Linked DNA regions of Cricetulus griseus. The protein of the gene in region 3 interacts with the protein of the main gene of each other region in a pairwise test. Links are inferred from orthologs where the notes say so. Each region holds a gene or a part of one and is shown on either strand. Other genes may lie near its edges. The genes, in order: Smad7, Htt and Pias4.

The links.
Region 1: the proteins of Pias4 (region 3) and Smad7 interact in a two-hybrid assay, tested with the Homo sapiens proteins (2 studies listed by BioGRID and IntAct). The link is inferred for Cricetulus griseus from reciprocal best matches to the Homo sapiens genes PIAS4 and SMAD7.
Region 2: the proteins of Pias4 (region 3) and Htt interact in binary tests that used the Homo sapiens proteins (3 or more experiments, as listed by UniProt). The link is inferred for Cricetulus griseus from reciprocal best matches to the Homo sapiens genes PIAS4 and HTT.

What each region holds. Positions count from the first base shown.
Region 1 is NC_048595.1:164,538,781-164,541,578, reverse strand, and holds the end of Smad7 (mothers against decapentaplegic homolog 7), read left to right. Parts: intron 1-164; coding exon 165-703; 3' UTR 704-2,217; downstream 2,218-2,798. UniProt on the Homo sapiens protein: Antagonist of signaling by TGF-beta (transforming growth factor) type 1 receptor superfamily members; has been shown to inhibit TGF-beta (Transforming growth factor) and activin signaling by associating with their receptors thus preventing SMAD2 access.
Region 2 is NW_023276807.1:103,746,680-103,750,430, forward strand, and holds the start of Htt (huntingtin), read left to right. Parts: upstream 1-1,501; coding exon 1,502-1,743; intron 1,744-3,751.
Region 3 is NC_048598.1:101,936,533-101,940,183, forward strand, and holds part of Pias4 (E3 SUMO-protein ligase PIAS4), read right to left. Parts: intron 1,181-3,651; coding exon 1,096-1,180; intron 619-1,095; coding exon 577-618; intron 372-576; coding exon 152-371; intron 23-151; coding exon 1-22.

The DNA.
Region 1 (2,798 bases), on a different chromosome or scaffold from region 3:
TAGCATCATCGACTCTACCTGGAGTCCTGGCTTACCCTTACTCCCTCTTTTTGTTTTGTGCTGGCTATGGGGACTCAAGAGCAAGTGTATATGTATGTCTTTTGATTTCAGGAGGGAAAAGAACCTGGTCACCACCGCCAACTGTCTGCCATTTTGTTTTGTAGATTCCCAACTTCTTCTGGAACCTGGGGATCGGTCACACTGGTGCGTGGTGGCATACTGGGAGGAGAAGACGAGAGTGGGGAGGCTCTACTGTGTCCAAGAGCCCTCCCTGGATATCTTCTATGATCTACCTCAGGGGAATGGCTTTTGCCTCGGACAGCTCAATTCGGACAACAAGAGTCAGCTGGTACAGAAAGTACGGAGTAAGATTGGCTGTGGCATCCAGCTGACGAGGGAAGTGGATGGCGTGTGGGTGTACAACCGTAGCAGTTACCCCATCTTCATCAAGTCCGCCACACTGGACAACCCGGACTCCAGGACGCTGTTGGTGCATAAGGTGTTCCCTGGTTTCTCCATCAAGGCTTTCGACTATGAGAAAGCATACAGCCTGCAGCGGCCCAATGACCATGAGTTCATGCAGCAGCCATGGACGGGCTTCACCGTGCAGATTAGCTTCGTGAAGGGCTGGGGCCAGTGCTACACCCGCCAGTTCATCAGCAGCTGCCCGTGCTGGCTGGAGGTCATCTTCAACAGCCGGTAGTTGTGTGGGGAGAAGAGGACAGGACGGAGCGTGAGCCGAGCAGGCCACCATTCAAACTACTTGCTGCTAACCTTTCCCTCCCGAGTGCTTGCTTTTCATGCAAACTCTTTGGTCGGTTTCGTTGTTACCATTGTTGGTGTTGTTTTTTGTTTTTGTTTTATTTTTGTTTTTCCTTCTCGTTGTCCTTGTTTGTGTTTTGTCTTGTTCTTTGAGAAATAGCTTGTGATGAATTAGTTTGTTTTGGTTTTTTTTATTTTTTTATTTTTTTGAGGTGGTGGGTGTGGTCGACAGGACACCCCGACATGAAAATGGGAAGCAAAAGTCAGCACTGCCAAATATGGTATATGAAAGTGGGTACTGCCTTCCCTTCGGATCGGCATTGTCAGGAGTGGATGTTCGGTCGTGTAGGGTTGTGCATGAACGGCAGATGGGGAGATGCTTTTTGTGTTCCTTATGAATGTCCCCAGCTGAGAGTCTGCAGTTTCAAGCTGTTTGTCTCTCGAGCCCTTTGGACATGCTCAGTGGGGCAGAGGCAGTACCTGGGCAGACTGGCAGCAGGTGTTCCAGCAGCTGCCAAACTTTGCCCCAGCCTGCCGAAGCCCCTGCCCTGCCTCCCCCCTTTTAGGACACGGGCCTATCCACAGGCTTCTGAGAAGCCAGCCTGCTAGAGGCTGAACCAGAACCAATTGTTTTCATCCCTGTCTTACTGCCTCCTGTCACCCCGCTGCCATTGTCATGTCTGTCTTTTTTGGCCATCTGCTCCTGGATCTCTTTCTTGAGATGGGCTTCCTAAGGGCTGCAGGGACAGCCCAGTCACAGTATTGCTAACCCAGGACCCTCGGGCCCTTCAGCCGGTCCCCCTGCTGTGGTTTTTCATCAGGTTTCTCCCAGATGTGGAGAGTCAGCTCAGCACCCCATCCCCAGCCTGTATGTTGAGCTCTATAGACCAGGGAGGGGCATCCCTGGGAGGGAACTGCTCAGTGGCCCCCTTCCCAACAAGAAGGGTGTGGCCTGTCATAGCGAAGGTACCATCCTAGGCTGACTCCCAGCTCTTCTCTCAACTCATACACTCGTATGATACTTTGACACTGTTCTTAGCTCAATGAGCATGTTTAGACTTTAACATAAGCTATTTTTCTAACTACAAAGGTTTAAATGAACAAGAGAAGCCTTCTCATTGGAAATTTAGCATTGTAGTGCTTTGAGAGAGAAAGGACTCCTTAAAAAAAGCTGAGATTTATTAAAGAAAAATGTATTTTATGTTATATATAAATATATTATTACTTGTAAATATAAAGACGTTTTATAAGCATCATTATTTATGTATTGTGCAATGTGTATAAACAAAAATAAAGAAAAGATGCACTTTGCTTTAATATAAATGCAAATAACATGCCAAATTAAAAAAGATAAACACAAGATTGGTGTTCTTTTCTATGGGTGTTATCACCTGGCTGAATGTTTTTCTAAAGGAGTTTATGTTCCATTAAACAATTTTTAAAATGTATACTTCATCCCATGTTGTTTAGCTGCTTTTTCTTTTCCTTGGAGGGAGGCTGGGAAGTTTACCAGTGGAGACAACGGCGAATGGGCCTGGGATCTGGAGACCACCTGCCTTATGGGTACCCTTTTGTTTGGTGTGGCTGCAGGTTTCCTCATGGTGCATTGGGAAATGACGGGAGGGAGTCCTCTGCTGAGTGTTTGGAAGTTGGTGGGTTGAGGAGAAAGGGTGTGTCACTGGGAAGATGGGGTTGGTGGCAGAAGAGCAGGTACATCCTCAAGAACCAGGTTCCCTTGGCTCATGCTAATTCTACACTGAGCTAGAGCATCTTTCTCAGTAGAAGGGACTTTGCCAAAATGAATTCCAAGACATTTCCTGGGGATTGGAGCCCCAGGAAGTGATAGAGAATAACTGCCCCACAGTGATCAGAGGGATGAAGTCCCCACCTCCTTCCCTCTCAAGTGATGACTGAATCCAAGCTTCACTTAAGGCTGTCTGCTAGGATCTTCATGATTGATAGGTTCTCAGCCCTGTGGTCCAACTCATCCCTGGGCTGTTGCTGTGAGATGCCTCGTAAGTACTTTACCTGCATAA
Region 2 (3,751 bases), on a different chromosome or scaffold from region 3:
AGTCAGAAGTCAGCTGCCCATACTTAGACAGTGCTAAGAGGCAGGGCTCATTGGGCCTTCCATGTCTGCCTACTAGCAACTACCAGCTGTTAGAACTTGCCTCATGTGGGAGCTGGCACTGGCTTTATGCAGCGGACAGTGGCATTAGTAACTGGAGGGACATGGAATTCTAAAGACTTTCTCTGCTGTCCTCAGTTTAACAGGGGTTGGCTGCTTATACCTCCCATGGGTAGTGTTGGCTCCTGTGTACTTGGCCATTTTGAGAAGATGGAGGAGTTTCTCATGGCCATGGAATAGGGCTCTTGAGTCTTAGGGGTAGCCTGAAGAGCTTAAATGGGTTCCTAACTAAATGCATCACCTCCAGTCAGATCTCTCTGAAGCCAACACCTTTTGCTGGACAGGCTGAAGGAGCTGGGTGTATCCATACTATTCTAAGCTTCCTGTTTAATTGCTCACCAGTGGGAGATGGAGATTCTGGAGACAAGGACCTCAGCTCTGGTGGCGATGAGGCCCCTTGTAGGTTCTGGCTGATGACCAGAGCAGTGCCATGGTCCAGCACTGTGAAGTTGAAGTGTCCGATCAGAGTTGCACTAACCCCAGCCTCTCTTTGGGCTGCAGGCACTGCTACTTGTTTGGAACCCTTTATCAGCTTCCTCCACAGCACATCGTCTGGTGCCGCCTTTTTTTTTTTTTTTTTTTTTTTTTTTTTTTTTATAGGCTTTCATGTCTGAGCTAACCAGTGCTTCAGGGGTCCACGGATCACAAGGGTTCTTTGGTCCTGCATAAAGGTCACTCTGGTTCCCTTCTCATTTCAGGGAGCCCTTAGCATACTGCATTCGGGACTGTATAGCAGGCCATCTGTCAGCTTGCGGACAATGAGTGCCTCTCTGGGTTTCGGGTTCTGAGCACCACCACCGCCATGGGTGGCTTTCTGCAGGGAAATTTCTTTGCTGCCCTTCCCCTTTCCAACCTCTTAGTCTTCCATGTCTCCCCAAACCCTACTGAGTTGCCAACTCCTCCGCCCGCCTCTTTTTTCTGTCCTGTAACTCCTAATCTAGTGCTCGGCCACTCCCCTCAAACCCACTCTTGGTTCAGCTCCGCCCCTCATCTAGCAACCCGCCCCGCCTACCTCATCACGCTCTCTCCCCGCTCCCTCCAATCAGAGGCTTGGTTTGCCGGAGAGGGGCGGGGTCATATCGTAGGGGCGGAGATTCTTAGCAAGTTGGCAGAGGCCCGGCATGCTTACAACCAGGCATTGGGAAAAATGACGCTTCGGCCTGTCAAATCTGCGGATCCGGCGTGGCCTCTCTTCCGTCGGCATGACGTCACAGGACGCAGGCGCCGCGGGGGTTGCCGGGACGGGCCCAAGATGGCTGGGCGCTTTGGTTCCGCTTCTGCCCGCCGCGCAGATCCCCATTCATTTCCCCGCTGCTAAGTGGCGCCGCTGAGGGCGACTAGGCTCCAAGCCTTCGGGGTCTGTCCCGCCGGGCAGGAGGCCGTCATGGCAACCCTGGAAAAGCTGATGAAGGCTTTCGAGTCGCTCAAGTCGTTTCAGCAGCAGCAGCAGCAACAGCAGCAGCAGCAGCAGCAGCAGCAACAGCAACAGCAGCAGCAGCAGCAGCCGCCACCACCACCACCGCCGCCGCCTCAGCCCCCTCAGCCGCCGCCTCAGGGTCAGGCGCCACCGCTTGCACCGCCCCCACCGCCGCTGCCCGGTCCGGCCGAGGAGCCGCTGCACCGACCGTGAGTCCGGGCGCCGCAGCTCCTGCCCTGGGCCGCTCCCCTGGCCTGCGTGCTGGAGACAGCCAGCGCGATTCCCTGCCCAGAGAGAGGGTCGCCAGTCCTCTTCCTGGCCCGGGTCCTCGCCTTGTGGGGGTCTTTAGCTTTCCTCACTGGAGGCAGAGCCTGGTCAGGCCTGCGGCGGACTCGCCGAGGGGCGTCTCGCCCCCAGTGCTTTCGCCCTTCTTAGCTTGTGAAGTTAGGGAGCGAACTTGTTTCTGTCTTCGGGAGAAACTGGGGCTGTGGCTCACATGACTCCAAGAGAACTTGGAGAGGGCGAGACCTGTCTCCCGGGTCGCCTCCTTAGGTAGGCCTAGATGCTGGGAGCGCAGGACAGCGCGAGTGATGTGCGGATAGTGGATGACATAATGCTTTTAGGAGGCCTCAGCGGGAGTGCTGAGGGTGGGGGAATGTGAACCATCCAAATTGGATATTCTTTTTCCAAGTGACACTTGAAGCAGCCTGTGACTTCAGGCGCTTTATATTCTCCTGGTGTTTCGTTTAGTTCATGTTACAGTGTAGTAACAAGGTTTTAAGCATCACTGGAGAGGTATGTTTCTGTATGCTCCTATTGGCCTGCAGGTAATTGGATGAACTGTGGTTGTCAAGTACATGATGAGTTACTTAGGTGTGATTATTAATAAAAATTATATGTCTCTGTGTCATATATATATATATGTGTGTGTGTGTGTGTGTGTGTGTGTGTGTGTGTGTATGTATGTATGTCGATTGATATTTATTGCCTATATTTTCTGCTGGAAATAAAATGGACATGTTGGTGATGCGCAGTTTACATCAGGGAATGATTTTTATCAGTGTTACAGTCAGACTTGTTTTTAGAACATGGGCCACTCTGTGTGCCAGTGAAAAAAATTCCTATTTAATTCTTTGCTGACATCTTGTCATCCTTCAGAAGCTTGCTGCATGTGACTGGTGAGAATATTTGAAACAGAAGAGAGACCATGAATAACAATAGTCTTAAAAAAGAAAATGATGATCAAGACATTTCCTGGAAGTCCACGATGAGTGTTCAGCCCTGTACTTTCTTGCAGTTCAGGCCTTTCAACTGGACATTTTATTTCTAATGTGGATTTCTATAATTAATAAGGAGAACTTTCAGGAAACAACCTACTGAAGAATCCCATTATTAATCCTCATTTAGGAAAAAAATTGTTTTGTTGCTGGGAATTTAGCTTAAGGCCTCACACATGCTGGGCAAGTGCTTTACCACTGAGCTATATTCCCAGCCTATTTTTAGTAATTTTTCTTGTTCTTGTGCTTCTGATAGGATCCTTTTTGCTGCCCTGGGAATCTAGTTTTTTGTTGTTGTTTTTTTTTAAATGAAGATTTGGGGAAAAATGTTGGCTTATTTGATAGAATAAAATATAGGAATAAATTTTTCTTCTATAAGGTCAAAGAGGGTTTGAGTAGAAAAATCTTTCCCTTTAGATAAGTAATATATTTTGAGACAGTCTCACTGTGTAACTCTGGCTGACCTGGAACTCACAGATATCTATCCTCCTGCCCCTGTCTCTTCAGTGCTGGGATTAAAGGCATGTGCCACCATGCCTGGCTGTATAAGTATTTTCTAATTATTAGATTCTTAACACGACTCTGTCTCTCTGGGTGTTAGGAATTGTGCAAGTTCACATATTCCTCATATCTTCTGTAAGGGAGGGTTGGGGCGGGGTGGGGTAGGGTGATTTCTCTCCAGCTGCTTCAAGCACAAATTCAATCTGTTTTTGCATAAGTAATTCATTAACATGGTCCAGTTCCAAAGTTAGGAAAGGTTAAATAGTAAAACATCTCCCTCCCCATTCTCCTGAGTGCCTAACTCTGTCCGCAGTAGCAAGCACTGTTACTCATTATGTGTCCTTTCAGATAAAATCTGGGCATATGTTAGGACAGATTTTTAAATTATTTATAGACAAAAGTAGTTTGGAACGAAAGCTTTTAAAAGTTTTAAAACCTT
Region 3 (3,651 bases):
GGTACAATGCCACGGAGTAGCTCTGTGGACAGAGCAGCTGCAGCATCAGGGTACTGAATGCAGGGTGGACGTGGGATGGTGGGTACTAGGTGCAGGGTGGCCAGGGGGGAGGGACATGTGGAATGATGGGGGCTGGGCGCAGGGTGCTTACCTTGCCATAGTTGCCCCAGGTGACAGTGATGCGGTTGGTGGCGGAGGAAAGGTACATGAGATGGGTGAGGTTGATGGGTCTGCAGGGCCTCTTGGGTTCCACACCAGGCTTGTTGGAAGGGTAGTAGCCCGGCACTGAGCAGTAGCTGTGGTTAACCTTCACAGCAATGTTGGGTGGGTACTGATCCTCCTGTGGGCAGCTGGTGTCAGAGTAACAGATCCTGGGGAGACAGTGAGACACAGGACTGTGGGGGCACACAGGGACATGGGGACATGGGGGGGGGGCTATGAAGACAAGCAGCAGAAGAAAGAGAAAGCCCCAACAAAGATGACAGGTGGTGGAGGTACAGGGTGGATGGCATGGGGTTGTGTGTGCAGAGCAATGGCCTGCCACAGGAGAGGCAGGGCGGGGCGCTGTTCGCCTACCTCAGCACCACCTGCACGGCTTTCACTCCAGGCTGCAGCTCTCTGTGGGCGGGGCACAAGGCAGCAGTCAGCAGGCAGTGCAGACCACCCAGAGAGCCCTCCCCAGGATCACCAATGGACACAGGAGAGCAGTGCTCCTGACCCACTCCAGGAAGAATCTGTCCATCGAAAGGGTAGGAAGGAGGCGTGCAGAGAGAGGGTCTGGCCACACCCCAGCCTGACCTCTGTCCTGACAAATGGCGCAGAGATGGTCAGGACTGTAAGGCCAGGACATCCAAAGGGTCAGAGCTTCACTAAGCACCCTCACTGGTTCACCCTTACCCATCTTGCCCATGGGACCCTGGTGACATCTGCAGGTGCATGTAGCTGGGGAGCTCCTGGCTAGCATGGAGTGGGTGGGTGAGGGAAAGCCATGCTCACGAGGCTGTGGGGCCTCACACTGTCCTGCCTGGTCCAGATGATATGTGGTCCCAGCAAAGGTGGGCACACGATAGTGGGAGTTGTTCGTGGTGGACACACCTGGAGTTGCGGATCATTTCCACCTGCCTCGGTGTCAGCGCGAAGATGCATGGGCTCTCCTGTAGCTTCTCCGTGCTCTGTGGGACTGAACACGCATGGGTCAGGCCGCCTGCTGCATGTCACAGTCACAGGGCAAGAGGCCAGCCCTCTGCCTAGGATTCAGGGGATACACACTGGCCCCACACCTTCCACTCTGGGTCCCTTTGGAGCTGGGTGTTCCAAAGGCTAAAAGGTAGCTGCCTGTATCCTCAGGCCATCACGTCATCTGCAGTCTCGTCAGTCAGCATGGCTCCACGGCAGACTGCTGGCCCAGTGTGCACGAGGTCCCGTTCCTCCCTCAGCAAAGGGCTCTAGCCCATTTGGACATATGACACAGCCTCCTCTGAGGGAGTGCACACCAGCCACCCTAGCATGTCAGAGACTGAAGCAGAAGGGTCTTGGATTCAAACCCAGCCTCAGGTCCAGACCAGTCTGAGGCAAAAGGGCACAGCTGTGGGGAGTAGGGCTGAGTTCTACCCAGCACTTCAGGACCAACCACTGTCCCTGTCAGATGGTATTCCCTATCTGGATACAGGCACTCCCAGCTGAGGAAGGACCCTGGCAGCCCAGTTCCTACAACACTGTTTACAAGAGGCGCTGATGCTGGGTGAGACTGGCCTGGAACCTTCTGAACCACAGGCTGTGGTACCAGTCACAGTGAGTGTAGGCAGGTTCCGGAGCTGGGAGGTGGAGTAGCTTGGATGAGGGGACAGTCACACCTGTCCAGCCCAGGATCCTGTAGAGAGCCCATGGGTCCTTGGGTGACTGCTGCTGTGTAGCTGCAGGGCCTGAGGGAGGAGCTGGAGCTCAGGGACCCCTGGGCACACTCAGATCTGTCTAGCCTGGAGTAACCACCTGAGGGAGAGTGGGGAGGGACCAGCAGTGCCATGGCAGACACCTGAGCTGGCAGAGGCTAGGCAGGAGGTAAGGGACCCATCTGCCCTCCTGGGAGGCTTCTGTGGTGTGGGGGACAGGCCCCACACTCTAGCAGCCAACTTAGGTTTGTCCCACGCTATGCTGCTCTAATGAACCACAGGGTATTCTCCAAGCCAGTAACTGTGCCATGGCTGTCTGCCCCCTGTCCAACAGCCAGACCCTAGAGCAATACCCATCTGAAATACTGAGTGTAGTCTCTTCAGCAGCACCAATTGGGGATTGAACTCTTCTTAAAACCTCACAAACCAGGCCTACCTTTGTCTTAGGGCCTCTGTACCCTGCCCACCCATTTCTCCCCACTTTATAACTCAGCTGGCCTGGATCCTCCTGAGAACCTGATAAAACTACACCTTTAATCCCAGCACTGGGGAGGCAGAGACAGGAGGATCTCTGTTGAATTCTAGGCCAGCCTGGTCTACAGAGTGAGTGCCAGGAAAGCCAGGACTACACAGAGAAACCCTCTCTGGAAAAAACAAACCAAAACAAAAACAGCAGAACTGGTTGTGAGCTCAAGGCCAGCCTGGGCTACACACACAGCAGCCCTGCGCCCCCTGCCTACCACTTTCACTTTCTCTGGGCCACTGCAGCATGGGCTGTGGACAGCTCCACACCATGGACTGAACAGCACAAGCACAGGTGCTGAGGAACCCACAGCCACCACCCTCAGCATACCTGAGGTGGGGCAGACACCAGGTGATCACGAAGACCCAATAGGGCAGGTAGGAACCAGGACAGGGCACTCAAGGCCATGGAAGACAACAACATCCAGACCCTTCACGTGGCCCCTCTTAGCCTTGTACACTCTAGGACTGGAGGTAGGCATTGGTGACCCAGTAGAGACACAAGGCGACCCAGAACCTGGTACCCCTCAACACCAAAGAAACACTGTGTCAATGTCTTATTCTCAGGCAGCTTCACCAGGGTTATAGTGATTGTTGTTTAACTCAGGCCTAGCTGGTTGCACTAGGAGGGCCAAGGCAAATGGTGGGGGCCAAGCATGCTTCAGGGGAGCTGTCATAGGACAACACAGTGAGCTTGCATATATCACAGTGGCCATAAACTCCAGTTCCCTGCAGCACCCTGACCAGCCATGTAGGCTGCTGAGTTGGGGCAGCATGGAGACCAGCACCAAGCACAGGGTACCACTGAGCTCCACTGTGGGACTGGGTGGGGATGTAGCCTGTGCCACTGGAGTGGGCAGGAATAGAGCAAGGGCTGTCCGCCCACCTTTGCTGCTGGCCTGCTCCAAATCAGTGACCTCAACTGGGTATCAGAGAGCAAGGGTGATGCCAGGTACAGGGACACAGACCTGTCAGCCAAATACTGAGGAGGTCGAAACAGGTAGATCAGAGAGGTTCAAGGCCAGTCTTGGCTACATAACAAATTGGGCCTGCCTGGGCCACCTGAGACTCTGCCTCAAAACATGGCACACACAAAAACATCATGCAGTTTTGGAAGGGAGCTATCGTAGAGATGCCATAAGGGCTGGGCATTAGAGGTGCACCCTTAAGGACAGAGGCAGCGACCAAAAGCCTGTGGGGTCAAAAGCACAGTGTGGAAGACCAAGGTGTGACCCATGTA